Linked DNA regions of Oryzias latipes. The protein of the gene in region 1 interacts with the protein of each later gene in a biochemical or structural test. Links are inferred from orthologs where the notes say so. Each region holds a gene or a part of one and is shown on either strand. Other genes may lie near its edges.

Region 1 (7,471 bases):
TTTGTTTCCTAAGGATATGGAGGATTTTTTCTACTACTGTCAAATCCGTCACTATGGCTCCAGCTTGATGAGGAAACAGCCAAAGCCAACAGAAATTCCTCTGTCAGAGGTTCCCTCCTTAATGAGAGCTGTGGGCTACTTTCCTACTGAACAAGAGGTATGTCATAGAAAACATCAGCAAATTTTATCCTTCAAAACGAAACGGTATGTTGTTTTTTTTCACCAGATAGAAGACATGCAGAACGAGATCAAGTTCAGCAGGTTTGCTGAAACTGGAAAGTATGTAACAGACATTGACTTACAGGAGTTTATCAAGTTGTACGTCAACCACCGGCCAGCCTTTGGCGCCCCTAGCAATGAACTTGTTCAAGCTTTTCACGTTCTTGCTAAGAGCAACAGTACAGGACAACCTGTTCTGCAGAGACAGGAGCTGCTAGAACTTTTACAGGCTCGAGGTACGTTTAAATCAGAAAAAAATGTTCTAATGTATTTCTGCTGTCTTTATAACTTGCATGATGCATGTCTTATACAATTTTTTTTCTTACTGATAGGGGAACAGATGACCATGAACGAGGTGGAGGAGTGTTTTACCACACTTTTAGGCCTCAAAAAAGAAGAAATTTGTAGGCATAAAAATTATGACTTCAATTTAAAAAATAAAACAAATAGAAATACCTGAAAGAGTAAACAATCTTTAATTTTCTCTTGCAGGTGAAGAACATTTACTGGAGAGAGAATTACCAGAGGAGATTTCAATGGAGATATTTACAGATCACATCTTGGGCTTTCCTCAATCAAACAGGAATGAAGGAAGCAGATCTCCTCCACCACAGTGATTAATAAGACAAGAAGTCACAGCGGGCTGCATACACGTTATCATTTTGACTTTACTTTTGTTCCTTTGTGGGTTTTTTTTTTAAACAGGTTCCAACAACTATCATTGTTATAGTTCATGTTTGGAGTGCCAGCACAAGTTTAAAGGTGGTGATTTCAGTGGTTGAAGTCAATCAGGAAACCGTACACACAGTTTTTAGAAAATGTTAGGGGGCACATATTAATGAATTTATGTCAGGAATCTATTGAAATTTGAATATAGAGGCATTTGACCAATGTCTGGACTTTGGACATGCCTGTTGAAAACATTTCTACCACAAAGGGCTCTGTAAAAATAAACCAACCACTGACAAGGAAGACAAAGGTAAAACAGAATACACAGCTGATAGTCCTACTGAATAGACTGTTAGAATTAGTATTATGGCAAGAAAAAAGCAGCAAAGTACAGAAAAACTAGTGTCCATCATTACTTTAAGAAATGAAGATTAGTCAGTCCAAAAAATTAGGAAAACTTTGAAAGTATCCCCAAGTGCAGTCACTAAAACCATCAAGCGCCACAAAGAAACTGTCTCACATGCGGACCGCCCCAGGAAAGGAAGACCAAGACTCACCTCTGCTGCAGAGGATGAGTTCATCCGAGTCACCAGCCTCAGAAATGGCAGGTTAACAGCAGCTCAGATTAGAGAGCAGGTCAATGGCACACAGAGTTCTAGCAGCAGACACATCTCTACAACAACTGTTAAAAGGAGACTGTGTGAATCAGGCCTTCATTGTAGAATGTCTGCTAGGAAACCACTGCTAAAGAAAGGCAACAAGCAGAAGAGACTTGTTTGGGCTAAAGAACAAGGAATGGACATTAGACCAGTGGAAATCTGTGCTTTGGTCTGATGAGTCCAAATTAGAGATTTTTGGTTCCAACCACTGTGTCTATGCGATGCAGGTGAAGGGATGGACTCTACATGCCTGGTCCCACCAAGAAGCATGGAGGAGGAGGTGTGATGGTGTGGGGGTGCTTTGCTGGAGACACTGTTAGGGATTTATTCTAAATTGAAGGCATACTGAACCAGCATGTCTACCACAGCATCTTGCAGCGGCATGCTATTCCACCTGGTTTGCGTTTAGTTGGACCATCATTTATTTTTTAACAGGACAATGACCCCAAACACATCTCCAGGCTGTTTAAGGGCTATTTGACCAAGAAGGAGAGTGATGGGGGGCTGTGCCAGATGACCTGGCCTTCACAGTCACCTGAACCCAATCGAGATGGTTTGGGATGAGCTAGACCGCAGAGTGAAGCCAAAAGGGCCAACAAGTGCTAAGCATCTCTGAGAATCCTTCAAGACTGGTGGAAGACCATTTCAGGGGACTACCTCTTGAAGCTCATCAAGAGAATGCCAAGAGTGTGCAAAGCAGCAATCAAAGCAAAAGGTGGCTACTTTGAAGAACCTAGAATATTACATATTTTCAGTTGTTTCACACTTTTTTTGTTATGTATATATTCCACATGTGTAATTCATAGTTTTGATGCCTTCGGTGTGAATGTACAATTTTCATAGTCATGAAAATAAAGAAAACTCTTTGAATGAGAAGGTGTGTCCAAACTTAGCATTGCGTGCTTTAAAGCTCACTGACGTGCTAACTGAAATTTATATTCTTAGACTATCAAATTAAAAAATCCACCCTTAGCCAAGCCGCCATAAAAAGAAGAAAAACAGGCGGCAAATTAGAGTGAATGAACTCCGTTAAACTACGTTTGAAGGGTCATCAGTGCAGAATAATCACGGGTATGCCTTCAAAACAGTTGAAGAACAACCTGTCGCTTCGTTTTATTTTTGGCCCTCCGAGGGTGGGTGGAGCTCTGACGTTGACCAATCAGAGACGGTTTAAAACAGGAACTTCCTGCTCTGGGCAGAGGAGCAGTTCTTTGTCAGCTGGTCTTTTAGACTAGTAATTTCGTCGGCTGTCTTAAAAGATAAGTTAACTTGGAACGCTCATGACCAATGAGAATACTAAACATGGGTGAAGTGATGTTTCTGGTTCCATAAGTTGAGACGGACATACGTGGACAGTTAAGATGAAAGGAAGAGTTTTATTTTCTTAGCCTGCTAGCTTAATGCTAGTTATTTGTCTGGGGAATTGTCGACATTCATTGCAACCAGGGAGATGTCTCTACGGCAGACTTACCGCCGCGCGACCGCTAGCATAAAGCAGGAGCAGGATGACGACTCGGATACGGAGGACTCTCACCTGGAGCTTCTCAAAGTGGAAGGGCTGGAATCTCAAATCATCCACAGCGGACACTTCATGGTGTCTTGGCCCCACAGCGAGCACCCTCCGAAGAAAGGCTACGACTTTGACACTGTCAACAAGCAGACCTGTCAGACGTATCACTTCGGCAAGACGAGCACGTCGCACCTCTCCATAGACGCGTCCCTCACTAAACTCTTCGAGTGCATGACCCTTGCTTATAGGTAAATCACAACACACATTGCCTGCTGCGCATTGACGCAGACAATTTCACTTTTCCTTTCAGTGCCGGGCTTGCTTTGGTCCAGCTGATGGGCTCGGAAAAGCACCATCAAGTCTTCTATCTTCCAACTGTAGAGAGGTTTAAAAAGTTCTTACAAATAGGCGAAACAAACATTTATAATTGTGTCTTCACACGCATAAGATCCAACATAATAAATATGTGGATAATTTTCTTTAAAGCTGGTTTTATTTATTTAAAAAGGTTATTTAGAATGTCAGAACCAGAAGCCTTTATTGTCATTTATTATACATAATACAATGAAATTTTAGCAGCCTTGGATTGGTGATACTATAAATTTAAATCAAAATATGTACAGGTAACCAATAAAAAATACAAGTATAAAAAAAATGGAATAAAATAGAGTTCAGTAAAGTGCAGCATAAACATGGATAATTTTGAAGCATGTAAGATCTTCTTAGTTTTATTAAAAGTTTGACATTGAATCAGTTTAAATACCCTTTAAGATGCAAACTGCTTTTTGTCACCGGACAAATTTAATTTTTGAATAGAAAAAACAAATTATATTTAATTTAATGTCAGATAAAAGCAAGCTCAATCAGTAATTTAGACAAAATCAAAGTTCCTTTTAAACTGGTTTGTTAAGTCATAGGTATATATTGCATTAACTTATCAGAGAGCATTGTTTTTATTTATATGTCTGCCTAAAACTTCAGACTTTTGGGTTTTTAAGGAATTTCTTAAAATAATTCATTAAGCGACAAGAAACATATTAGTTTCTTTATACAATAGAACTACACAGTCATTAGGACACTTGTGCTGTGCCCAGACAAGTTTTCAGCAGAGCCTCTGTTCTAACTAACCATACAGTCACTGGAGCTGAATAAACACCGGCAGACGTAATCCTGCATTTATTACATTGGGCACTTTAGCGGTGGAGCTGTGGATTATGTCAACAAATACAATTCAGTGTCATTTCTTATAGTTTTTTTTTTTTTTTTTTGTAAAAATGGACATTTTCAACCTTCTGTTATTCATGTAACATAAAAGCTTAAAACACTTGCCTTTAAATAAATAGCCTCAGAGACAACAGTGATGTAGATACTAATGGACAAAATAAAAACCCTTGCTAAAAATACAATTACAAAGTTGATGTTTGAGCATCTCATCCCCATCTTTCAAACCGCAGCCTCCCTGCAAAGCAGAATCAGTTTCATCACTTGTATTTATGATCCTAACCACTTGCCGTACTCTCAACCCAAAGCTTAGGCCTGATTGTCTGAACTCTCTCTTCACTTCATCCAAACTTTCCCTGGTCTTTCATCAATAGTTTCAGTAGTTTTATTTTCTTGACTTAGACTATTGAAGCAACAAAAGGATGCAGCCGATGATTTCTCCCCAAACATAGCGGGAAAAAGACTGCTTCCAGCTGCACTGAAGTATTTTCAGTTTTCTAGGGGAAGCTCTTACCCGTTTTCTTAACCCTTGTGCTATCTTATCTGACCCCACCCTTACTTTGACGTGTTCTCCCTACCATGACAAAGGTGGATAAAGGTGGAAAGATTTCATGTAATCCATGGACACCAGTGAAGATCACAAATCATTGAAGAAAAAAGGTTCAGAGCACTGTCTAGTGGGTCTAGATGACCCAACTCCCAACATTAAAGTGCCTAGGATAGTACAAGGGTTACAGTGTTTGAAGTAGTGCATCTTTAAAAGTACATATTCTAAAAGCTCTACGTCTCTGTAAAGATGTAACTCTCGTATGAATTTTAAAAGTGCATGTACAAAGTTCATGGTATCCATGCTTTTTACAGCTGTGCTGTTAGCGGCGTCATGACAAGCTGCTCTGAGGATTCCCTCAGACTCTGCAGCAAGTTTGGCTTTCTAGAAGAACTATTAATAGAACAGTTGCTGTTATGCTGCTGTCATTCATCCTATAAAAAGTTACATGTATTTATGCAAGGATGAAATGCATGCTTCCTTACAACTTTTTCATCTAAAATGTTTTGGCCAATTAACAGCTTTTCCGTCTTTGCATCGTCAAACATTAAAGGTACTCAAATTTTGTTGATTTAAAAAAAATCAAACTGAAACAAACTTGACAAGGACATATTGTATTGAATACAGAGCAGAAAGGATGAAGAGAGGGGAAATGTTGTGAGCTGTTTTTGTGATGAGCTTTGTCCTTCATTTGTATAGACTAACGGTCAGTCCACAGTATATTCTGCTTATTCCAATTTTAGCTTCTCAGTTACATACACAAGCTTTTTTTAAATTACATTTAACAACTTTCTCTTGTTTATTTATTTTAGTGGCAAACTGGTGTCTCCTAAATGGAAGAACTTTAAAGGTCTAAAGCTGTTATGGAGAGACAAGATTCGCCTCAACAATGCCATATGGAGAGCCTGGTATATGCAGTGTAAGAGGGCACCTTTTGTCTTTTCATTTGTCATATCTAGAATATGTGTATGCTGATGTCAGGAGCTAGATTTTATTTTTTAATTTTTTTTAGATAATCGCAGAGAAAATTCTACTTAGGTGTATGAAATCCTCATTACTAGTTTGTAAACTGTAACATTTCAAGATTCAAAGACCCACTTCAAGGAAAATCATGTTTTCAACATGCTCGTGTAGCATTTTTCTCATGATGGAGGCCGTGTCTAAAGAAAATTAAGCTAAAAATTGCATGTATGAGTATTTCTTCATTCGAGGGAGCAGAAGAAAAAATGCAGCTGGAAAAAGCTTGAAGCTGTGACGTAGGTGCTACAGTTGGTGAGTGACGAGCTCCCTGCTCCGCTCCATTCCGATGCCTCCACTTGCAGACGCATAGATCCGTGTACCGGTACGACTTTATTTTCCTGGTCTGAGCTGGTCTCTGGATCATAACTGTACAGCTGCATAGCTCTAATGTTGCTCACCCTTTTTGTTGCTCCAGTAACGTTAGGTTGGGCTTATGGGGGGCTGTAAGCTAGCGGGAGAGTGTAAACACATGGATGAAATGCTAATGGGTTTTTCCAGTGCCAAATGTCCCGCCCGTGACTTGGAGGAGAATTTCTAATGAACTCCTGCCGTTCTTCAGAAACTATGTTCTAGACGCAGACAACGTTTATTTTGGCTAAAAACGACAATCCTCATTAATCCTCATCACTGGGAGCACTGTTAAAATGGATCAAAAGACGATTGGAGTGGGACTTTAACTCTTTATGTTTAAAATCTGCTTGTTACAGCATGTAAAACAAAGTATTTAAAACCCTATGTATAGATTGATATAAATATTTGTGCATTCTTAAACCCATCAGGTTGTGTTGGTTCTCGTGTAAGTTTTATTCCAGTTTTAGGCAGGCTGTAAATGTGTGCGTGATATGATTAAAGCTGAGTCTGTGAGACAGTTGACATGTAGTTTTTATTGTTAGTATCTTGTATTTTTAGTCATTTTTCTCTTTGCTCAGATGTGGAAAAGAGAGAGAATCCGGTTTGTCACTTTGTAACGCCTCTGGATGGAAATATGCACTTAGATGTTCACCGAGCTGCAGAGGTAAGGCTTGAAGACATTTTGACTCAAATCTTCTTTCAATTTCCAGTTCTGTTTTCTTTGTTTTCTTCTTTTTTATGTTGTTTTTGCAGCAAGAATAGATTTCTGTCATTTGGAATCTTAGCTGTCACTGAGTTTGACGTTTCCCTGCCGCTTCCTTCCTCTTTGCTGAGTCCTTACTGTGATCTGAGGTTGAGTTCCTGTCTTCTGCAGACCATTGCCAGTGATGGAAGGTGCTGGAAAAGAAGAATAGAAATTGTCATTAGAGAATACCACAAGTGGAGAACATACTTTAAGAAAAGGGTAATGTTTAGCTTAATGAAACAACACTTTTTTTGCTTTGGCAGATGAAGGTGGTTGTTTTCATTTTTGTTTGTTTTAGTAAGCCATAAAAAAAATTCATTGTGGTGCTTTGTCTCTTCTAGCTTCATAAACACAAAGATGACGACCTCTCAAGCTTACTTACGGTATGCAAAACTGCTTTGTTTCCCCACAGTCTTAATATTGTAAAAAAGTACTTAAATGTATGGGCTTAATACCTTTTATAAGGAACAGTTATTACCATGCAGAGAAACTGTTGTATGCTTGCATGTGTGTGCATGGCTGGAAAGGGT
Region 2 (7,292 bases), on another chromosome or scaffold:
TCCAGAAAGTTTAAGTCATTTGGTTCTAAAAGGGAGAACATGGTATTCTTCGCTTTTAGGTATAGACCAAACTGGGAAAAATGAACCCTCAGCTGAGCCGACGTCATGCTTAGGACGACGTTTTAATGCCTGAACCCGAGATTTAAGTTTTCAAAAGCTTTGTTACAAACTGCTGCTATAGCATTTTATGCCTTTTTCTCTCCATTTCATCCATTTGGAAGTGTCAATTTACTGGCCATAGAAAGCACAATTCAACAAGACAAACGGATATTTTAATAAAATGCAGACATATTCAAATATCCCACCAACACAAATGTAATCAGACTTTTTGTAAAGTTGCTTTATTGCTTTGTGATTATACAATATAACTGAAGTGGCCACAGATTTTAACTTAAAAATATCTGAAACAAAATTGATTAAAATTTCTTATTTTTTGTGGGGGGGAAAAAAAACACTTAAAACCGGGAACTTACGAAATGATTTTAATGAAACGTCTGCAAACGGAATAATGAAAAGAAGGCAATTATAACCCAAATGGGTTGTATAAAACACATTCTGATCTGCTCAGAAATAAGGCTGAAAAATCCCTCGGTGATGAATTGTGGGGCATTTTTATCTGTTTTGTCCCAATTCAATTCACTATAATGAAGGTTTTTTTTCATTGGTTTGTCAAAACTACATTTAAAATGTGAATTATTTCACATTAAAGTATTTTTTTAAAGGAAATCATGGGGAAGTGTCCCATGGCGTGCACTAAAAGCGCACATAAAAGCCTGCGATGACAAAGTAGTCAAACACTTTCACAACTCCGGAGTGATTCTGTGCTCCGAGCCTCAAACTCAGGCGTAACATGCGCATTCTCCACATGCAATAGTCCTCCACGTGCAGCAGAAACCACCGTTAAACAGTTTGGTGTGGACCATTAAAAAAACAAAGCTGGGGGCATGAAGACACAACTAGCTGCTTGCTACAATATTTGGCAGCATGTTGGGATCAACGCGGACATTTCCTCTAAAAACAAATGCTGCATTTCAGCTTATGAAAAGCTCAGAAACTACTTTCTTTCGCCGCTCGGTCAAACACACCTGGTCATCTCCGCTCCAACCTCCACGAGGCTTCTTGAAGGGGGAATCCTCCGGCAGCCCTGGAGTCCCGGAGGAGCTAGAGTGGGAATAACTGCAGCACAGCCTCGCTGAAAACGTTTTTTTTAGTCATCTTGAGAGTCTGTTTTGGGGAGTTAAAGTCTCTTTGATCAGTAAAGCTGAACATTAATCTGCCGCAGGACGCCAACAACAAACTCCCGCAACGTCTACAAAAAAAAAGAAGAAAGAAATAGGAAAGTCTGAATAAAGACTCATTAGTTTTGTCTGTTTTCTACGACGCAGTATTAGGGCCACCATAAAACATTTACGAGAATAAAGTTGGTGAATTAGGAAGAAAATAGTTGCTTTTTCTAAAATACAGGCTGATTGTGTAAGCTTCTGACTAAATCCATCAATCACTTATGCCGATGCCATAAGGTTTTAGTTGAACATAGGAATCCATGTGCTATAATGCAGCTTTACTGTCGACGGCGTCAACGGTTCGCCCGCTAGAAATCTACACCTTATGGGTCAAGAATCTTTGAAGAGGCCCAGTTTCCTGCACAATGTCCTTCTAGTTCTAATAAAACGATGTTGAATCACTAAAAGACTTCCTTATTTGCTGAAGTAAATGTGCTCTACGTCTCTGAAACAAGATTTTGTTGCTTTTTGCTTATATTTTTCTTGGTAACAGACTTTAGCCTCATAAATTTATGACTACAATCTTGTAAACTTAATATATCTATTTTTTAAATAACAATTTGACTCTTTTACTTGTGATTTTATGACTTTTCTCTTCATTTTACCACTTTATGCTCGTAAATGTCTTTATTTGTTTGTTTTGATGGTGGCCCCAATACTCTGTCGTAGTTTTCTAAGCACAAACGCTAAAAAAGCAATATTTGGTACCTGTGGTTTGCAGTGCTCTTCAATCCAGCTAAAAACACAAGCAGACAGTTCTTCGAAGCTGCTGACTGAGACGGAGTTGCTGAAGGACACAAACAGGGAGTCCATGATGCTCTGAAAGATGTCAAACTTGACCTGGTCAGACACCTGATCCTCTCCCTGTTGTGGATTGCTCTGATGAGCCTTTACTATGTGCTCATAGTTCCTTCAAAAAAACAAAACAGACAGTATTTATACCACTAAAGGTTGACAGCAGTTATGAATTTAACAGTTTACTTCAGTTTCTATTAGATTATTGAAGCTAAAAAGGTCCTGGAGAAGAAGAAAAAACAAACTATGATACAAAAATGATGTTTTTTTCAACAAAACTTTACATTAGAAAAGGGGCAAGAACTTAAAAAAAATCAAAATCTCTTAATGCAAAAAAAACAACAACTATATTTTTAATCCAAATAAAGGCAGAGTGTTGACAAACTATGAGGAAGACTTAAGTAGGAAAAGGTGGTATGTCATTATAAGCTGCTCTCACGTTTTCATTATCTTAAGTGCCATAACTTCTTTCCTCAGGACAGAGACTTCCTCCTCTTGCTTCTTCTTTTCTTTATGAAGAAAATGAATGTAGTCAATAGCTAAAAAAAAAAAAAAGAATCAGAGCATTGTCAGTTAGTTTCTTCATACTGCTTTTTATGGTTTTTGCATCTATTTTGTGACCATAAAGGTAACTGAAACTAGATCGTGTTATCAGTTTTTAAATGTGTTTAGTGGAAACTACCATCTCACATTTACCTGACTGTCTGAAAATAACCTCACTTTTAGCATTACAGGTGTTTCAAATATAAAAAGAATAAATACTTTTACAAATGTAAAAGAACAAATGTTATCATCCCACTATTTCAATAGGTTTTGAGTAAATCTTACTTTTCTGCAGGATTGTAGCTTTGCTGATCTTCTGTGCTCCTACGGCAAACTCAGACTGCTGTTGACAGGTTGGAACAATTGACTGAAGATCATCATAACCTTTCTGAAATAAAAGTAAAGAAATATATACGAGATCAGATATCTGGAATTTTAAAGACAGTGACGCGATTCTTCTGCGGTCTCACCTTGATGGCATCTCTGCGCTTTTGCTCAGCTTGTGTGTGCGCTTGTCTCCTTCTGTCTTTATACGAGTCTTTAAGCGACGTCTCGTGTCTGTAGTCGCTGTCCTCATCATCTATTTTGGAATAAATTAAACTATTGTGACCCGACTCTGTTTTTGTGCTGTCGATCAAATTATAAAAAGCATTTCAATAAATACAAGAGTCAAATCTCAAAGTGGCCTCATGGTTCTATTGGGATGTTAGCATGTTTTTATAAACATTTCTCACCAAGAAAAAGTATATTAAATACTTTTAACCAAAGAATTTAGTCTTCCAGAAAAGGGTAGATAGCACAATTGTGGATTGAAAAGAAAAACAATAAAGTAATTTCCTATTATTTTCATTTATGATGACAGAGTAAAACTTTTGATTGATATCAAAACAGACTGGATGTCGATTTAAAAGACTCTAAAGCTACCAGTATTTGGTACTGAAGAGGCACTTGTTGACCCGATGCTGTTTGCTCTGGACACCACACTTCCTTTTCTGGCTGTTTCAATATAGAAACCTGCAAATATAAGCATAAATGTTTAGAAATATGACAAAAATAAGACATAAACAAAAAGAAAACCAATCCGAAAAAGTTGTTTTCTCACAGGCAGGATTTGATTTAAAAACAAAACCCAAAAACTACTCACTTTGGTCAAAGCCACCATCGCTGAAAGCACCATCTGTCTGCGCAGCCATCATAAAGAAGCAGGAGAAATGGACAAAAAGCGGTGGGTTTACCATTATAGACCAAAAAAAGAAAAGAAAGTGTGCTGTTCTAAATACTTTGATTACAAAGACCAGAACACCCACTGAGGATTGTCCTGGTTTAACACATTCAAGCAGGGAGAACACAACTCGTTCGATCGCAATTTAGTTAAAATTTAGGACAACAACAAAAGAACAGGTAAACTTCACAATTAGTGATTTTCTAGTGGCTCCCTCTTGAATGGTACTTTCAGCATCAAAGTTAAGCTGACATATAAAAAAATACAATTAATCTACTGTAAAGTCAAGATTCAAAGGTTTTTTAACATCAAAAATATCTCTTAAAATTTTACTTAGTGGCACTGGTACCAAACCTGACAAAACAAACTACATGCATTAGCTTAAATGTAAAGGCAGACTACTAGTACTTCTTCGTTATGAAATCTTGACAGAAACCAAATTTTCATTTTCCTACCGTCATTGTACACACAATGAAACCGACTCTCTCTCCGTTCTTTTGTTTAGATATCTACGGTTTTGCTGACCCAAGTGTATTTTTTTCATGTGCATGAAGACTTTTTAAAAACTGAATTAACCCGAGTTTTCCGGTAGCTTTGTTTACTTAGCTAGCTTGCTTTGCTAAGCACTTCAATGTTGCTTAACGTCACTAAGCTAGTTAGCCGCGAGGCTATTATCAAAGCACCGTTTCCACTTTACTTCCGCGTTTTGACAGCCGAGTCAGTTATAACTGCCGCCCCCAACAACACAGACCAAGTAATTATTTAAAAAAGTAAAGTTTGTGATAAGTTAAAATCTGGTTCATAAGAGTGACTTACTTTCCAGTGTTCCTCTGGGGATGTAGGATCCGTCATTTTGGAAGGCTGAAAAAACTAATAGTGGTGTCGCATTCACGTGTCACTCGTAAATTAAACTGCTTTGTTAGGAATGAGATGCGTTCATATTTCAAACCATCAACATTTAAATAATACTTTAACTATAAATATAAATACTTTATATATGTATGTGTTTTGTATACAAGTAGTTTTTTTGTTTCTGTGATTAATTAGTAAGAAGATACTTTTAAATGTTTTACCTTTTGATGTAATATGTAACTGACGTAATTTTTGGTAAAAATGTAGGCACCTATTGTTCAAACTTCAAGTATTTGTCACATATATTTATTTATTCCTTTAACTATTTATATACACAACAATGTGAATGTTAGTATCATTCATAACGAAAATTTCATACTGATCTCAAATGTTGCACGGCTATATGCAGTGATAATCTTTAAACGCAGGAGGTCGCTGTTTCTCAGTTTTAAAACCAGTATTCAACTTTAGCTGTTTGACCCGTGCGACCTCCAAAACAAACCTGTCTCAAGCTAGAGTGGAATAAACAGCTCCAGTTTATAGATTTAGCTTTAAATGATTAATAAGCTGCAGACAATTCTATTGTTGGTTTAATTTTGTACATTTGCATGTTGTAATTGTGTCTTTATTTCTGGTTACCATGAGCAATGTAGTTCTTTTCTTTTGCTATGTGTTGTTTATTTGTTATGTACCTTTTTATATTTGTGATCCGAATAACGGATGCAGTTTATCTTCCACCCTGTCCTCCACCTCAGGTTCTGCTGCACTCATACACAGGAAGTTACTCTTCTGCTTTTCTGCTTCTGTGGTTTCTGTCTGTGTTTCACACTCCCCTCTCCTTCCTCTCATACAGAGGCGTCTCTGCCTTATTCAGAGAAGTTTTCAACCTGTGTAGAAATAGTTCATGAGAGTTGGGTACGTCTTTTCTTAGAGCACGCAGGCCTAACAAGGCTATTGTCTTGTTCTTGTTGGCTCATGTAGACAGACAAGTTTCTGAGCGGACAAACATGAAGACAACCCTCGTTTTTTTCATCACTTATCCTGTCTTGAAGACAGGACGCAATTTAGAATAAATGTTCTTCACCTTAAAGGCACAGGACTTGATTCATCTTAGACCTTCCTGTTTTTGTCATTTAGAGTGACCAACTTTTTGTCACTCTGCTCTGGAATACACCAATTTTCCTCGGAGAAAGGGTTTGTGTAAAGCTTTCCTCCTGGATTACTTTTGGAGATTAGTGATGGGGAATGCGGCGGCAGGGGGCTTGGAGCAAGAACCTGCTGACGGCCGGGACGCCAGGATCTCGGTTTCGGCAATGAGTGATCCCGCACTTGTCTTGCAGAAGAAACAGTCGGCTCCCCCAAAACTTCCCATGCCTCCGGAGGAGGAGCTGGAAGAACGCTTCAATGTGGTCCTGGTGAGTGGTTCTTGTTACTCACACTTTCACCAAATGCAGAGACACTACAGTCCAAGAAACCTGTTGTTAGGAAGGTTATTTGGAATCACATAAATAAGAAGTTTGATCTAATATAACCTTTTAATGTTTAGTCTTGTGTGTTGGGTTGTGTACAGCATTTCTGCACCTGCCAAGATGCTTGTTATTGTTTGAAATCTTAATAATTTTATGTTTATTCTCAGTGTTTAAACTCTAAAACTGACCTACAACCTGAGAGTTTGTACATTTATAAAAATGGATTTGAGTAAACATTTAACTTTTTTAATATACTTGAAACCGACACACGGTACGTAAAGGGTGATCAGAACACGCATGGGCAGCTGGTCATAAGGGGGAAGTTGAGCAATACGTTTACATGAAAAAAGCACAGGACCGGAAAGCGAGTGTTTCACCACCCGATCAACACCCATGCAAGTCGAAAAGTTCAACAACAAAACCCCAAGATCGCCCGCCATTTGTGTTCAAAAACACCAAAACCAAGACAATTTAAAATCCAATTTATCTAAGGTTTTTTATAAAAGATATTTGCTCTATAATTTGTTTTCTTTGTAAACACTTTAAGCTACTATCATGTTAAGATCTCCTCTGTGAGGGTTGAACCTTTTTCTGTACGAAAACCCCAGACCGCACACTGCATTTACTTCACCAACAGTTTTGTGTCACGCTGTGTGGCTGAAAAGTTTGCTGAGCAATACACACCTGCCACTCCTGCCATAAACAACACAACTTTGACAGAAATGAAGCAAATTATGCAACCATAGACTCTTAAATATTTTTTAACAAAAAGGGGGAAAAACCCACTTTCAAAACTTCAGCAACAGATCCCCACAGTTTCTAAATACAAGTGCTGATGCAACACACAACGAAGCACAGGCTGAGCACAAATTTTGAGTATTTTCAAAACGATATCGTGAAAAGATAAATAGTATATTTATCACGTTTTCTTTTATTTTTATATTTAACATTATCCTTTACTTTTTTTTTCTGTATATCTAAAATCCAAGAATCCATCAGATTCTAGACTAAAGTCGGTTTTTAGTATTTTTATTTTTAACGCTTGATGCATATAAACATGGTTTAATATTTAAAATTCACATTTTTACTCTTTTATTTATGACAAAACAATATACCTGTGGGGCATGT

The links.
Region 2: the proteins of mlxip (region 1) and mlx form a complex in vitro, tested with the Homo sapiens proteins (2 studies listed by BioGRID, with this or other methods). The link is inferred for Oryzias latipes from reciprocal best matches to the Homo sapiens genes MLXIP and MLX.

The regions. Positions count from the first base shown.
Region 1 is NC_019867.2:12,065,028-12,072,498, forward strand, and holds the start of mlxip (MLX-interacting protein), read left to right. Parts: upstream 1-2,723; 5' UTR 2,724-2,997; coding exon 2,998-3,305; intron 3,306-5,637; coding exon 5,638-5,744; intron 5,745-6,774; coding exon 6,775-6,860; intron 6,861-7,070; coding exon 7,071-7,160; intron 7,161-7,282; coding exon 7,283-7,324; intron 7,325-7,471. Other genes in the region: wdr66 (cilia- and flagella-associated protein 251), read left to right, coding at 14-157, 227-455, 552-623, 712-836. UniProt on the Homo sapiens protein: Binds DNA as a heterodimer with MLX and activates transcription. Binds to the canonical E box sequence 5'-CACGTG-3'. Plays a role in transcriptional activation of glycolytic target genes. Involved in glucose-responsive gene regulation.
Region 2 is NC_019866.2:6,753,845-6,761,136, forward strand, and holds mlx (max-like protein X), read right to left. Parts: upstream 4,799-7,292; 5' UTR 4,696-4,798; coding exon 4,660-4,695; intron 4,610-4,659; exon of another isoform or gene 4,305-4,609; coding exon of another isoform or gene 4,299-4,304; intron 3,803-4,298; coding exon 3,766-3,802; intron 3,636-3,765; coding exon 3,546-3,635; intron 3,202-3,545; coding exon 3,092-3,201; intron 3,010-3,091; coding exon 2,907-3,009; intron 2,618-2,906; coding exon 2,518-2,617; intron 2,194-2,517; coding exon 1,992-2,193; intron 1,310-1,991; coding exon 1,253-1,309; 3' UTR 333-1,252; downstream 1-332. Other genes in the region: fmnl1 (formin-like protein 1), read left to right, coding at 5,934-6,110. UniProt on the Homo sapiens protein: Transcription regulator. Forms a sequence-specific DNA-binding protein complex with MAD1, MAD4, MNT, WBSCR14 and MLXIP which recognizes the core sequence 5'-CACGTG-3'. The TCFL4-MAD1, TCFL4-MAD4, TCFL4-WBSCR14 complexes are transcriptional repressors.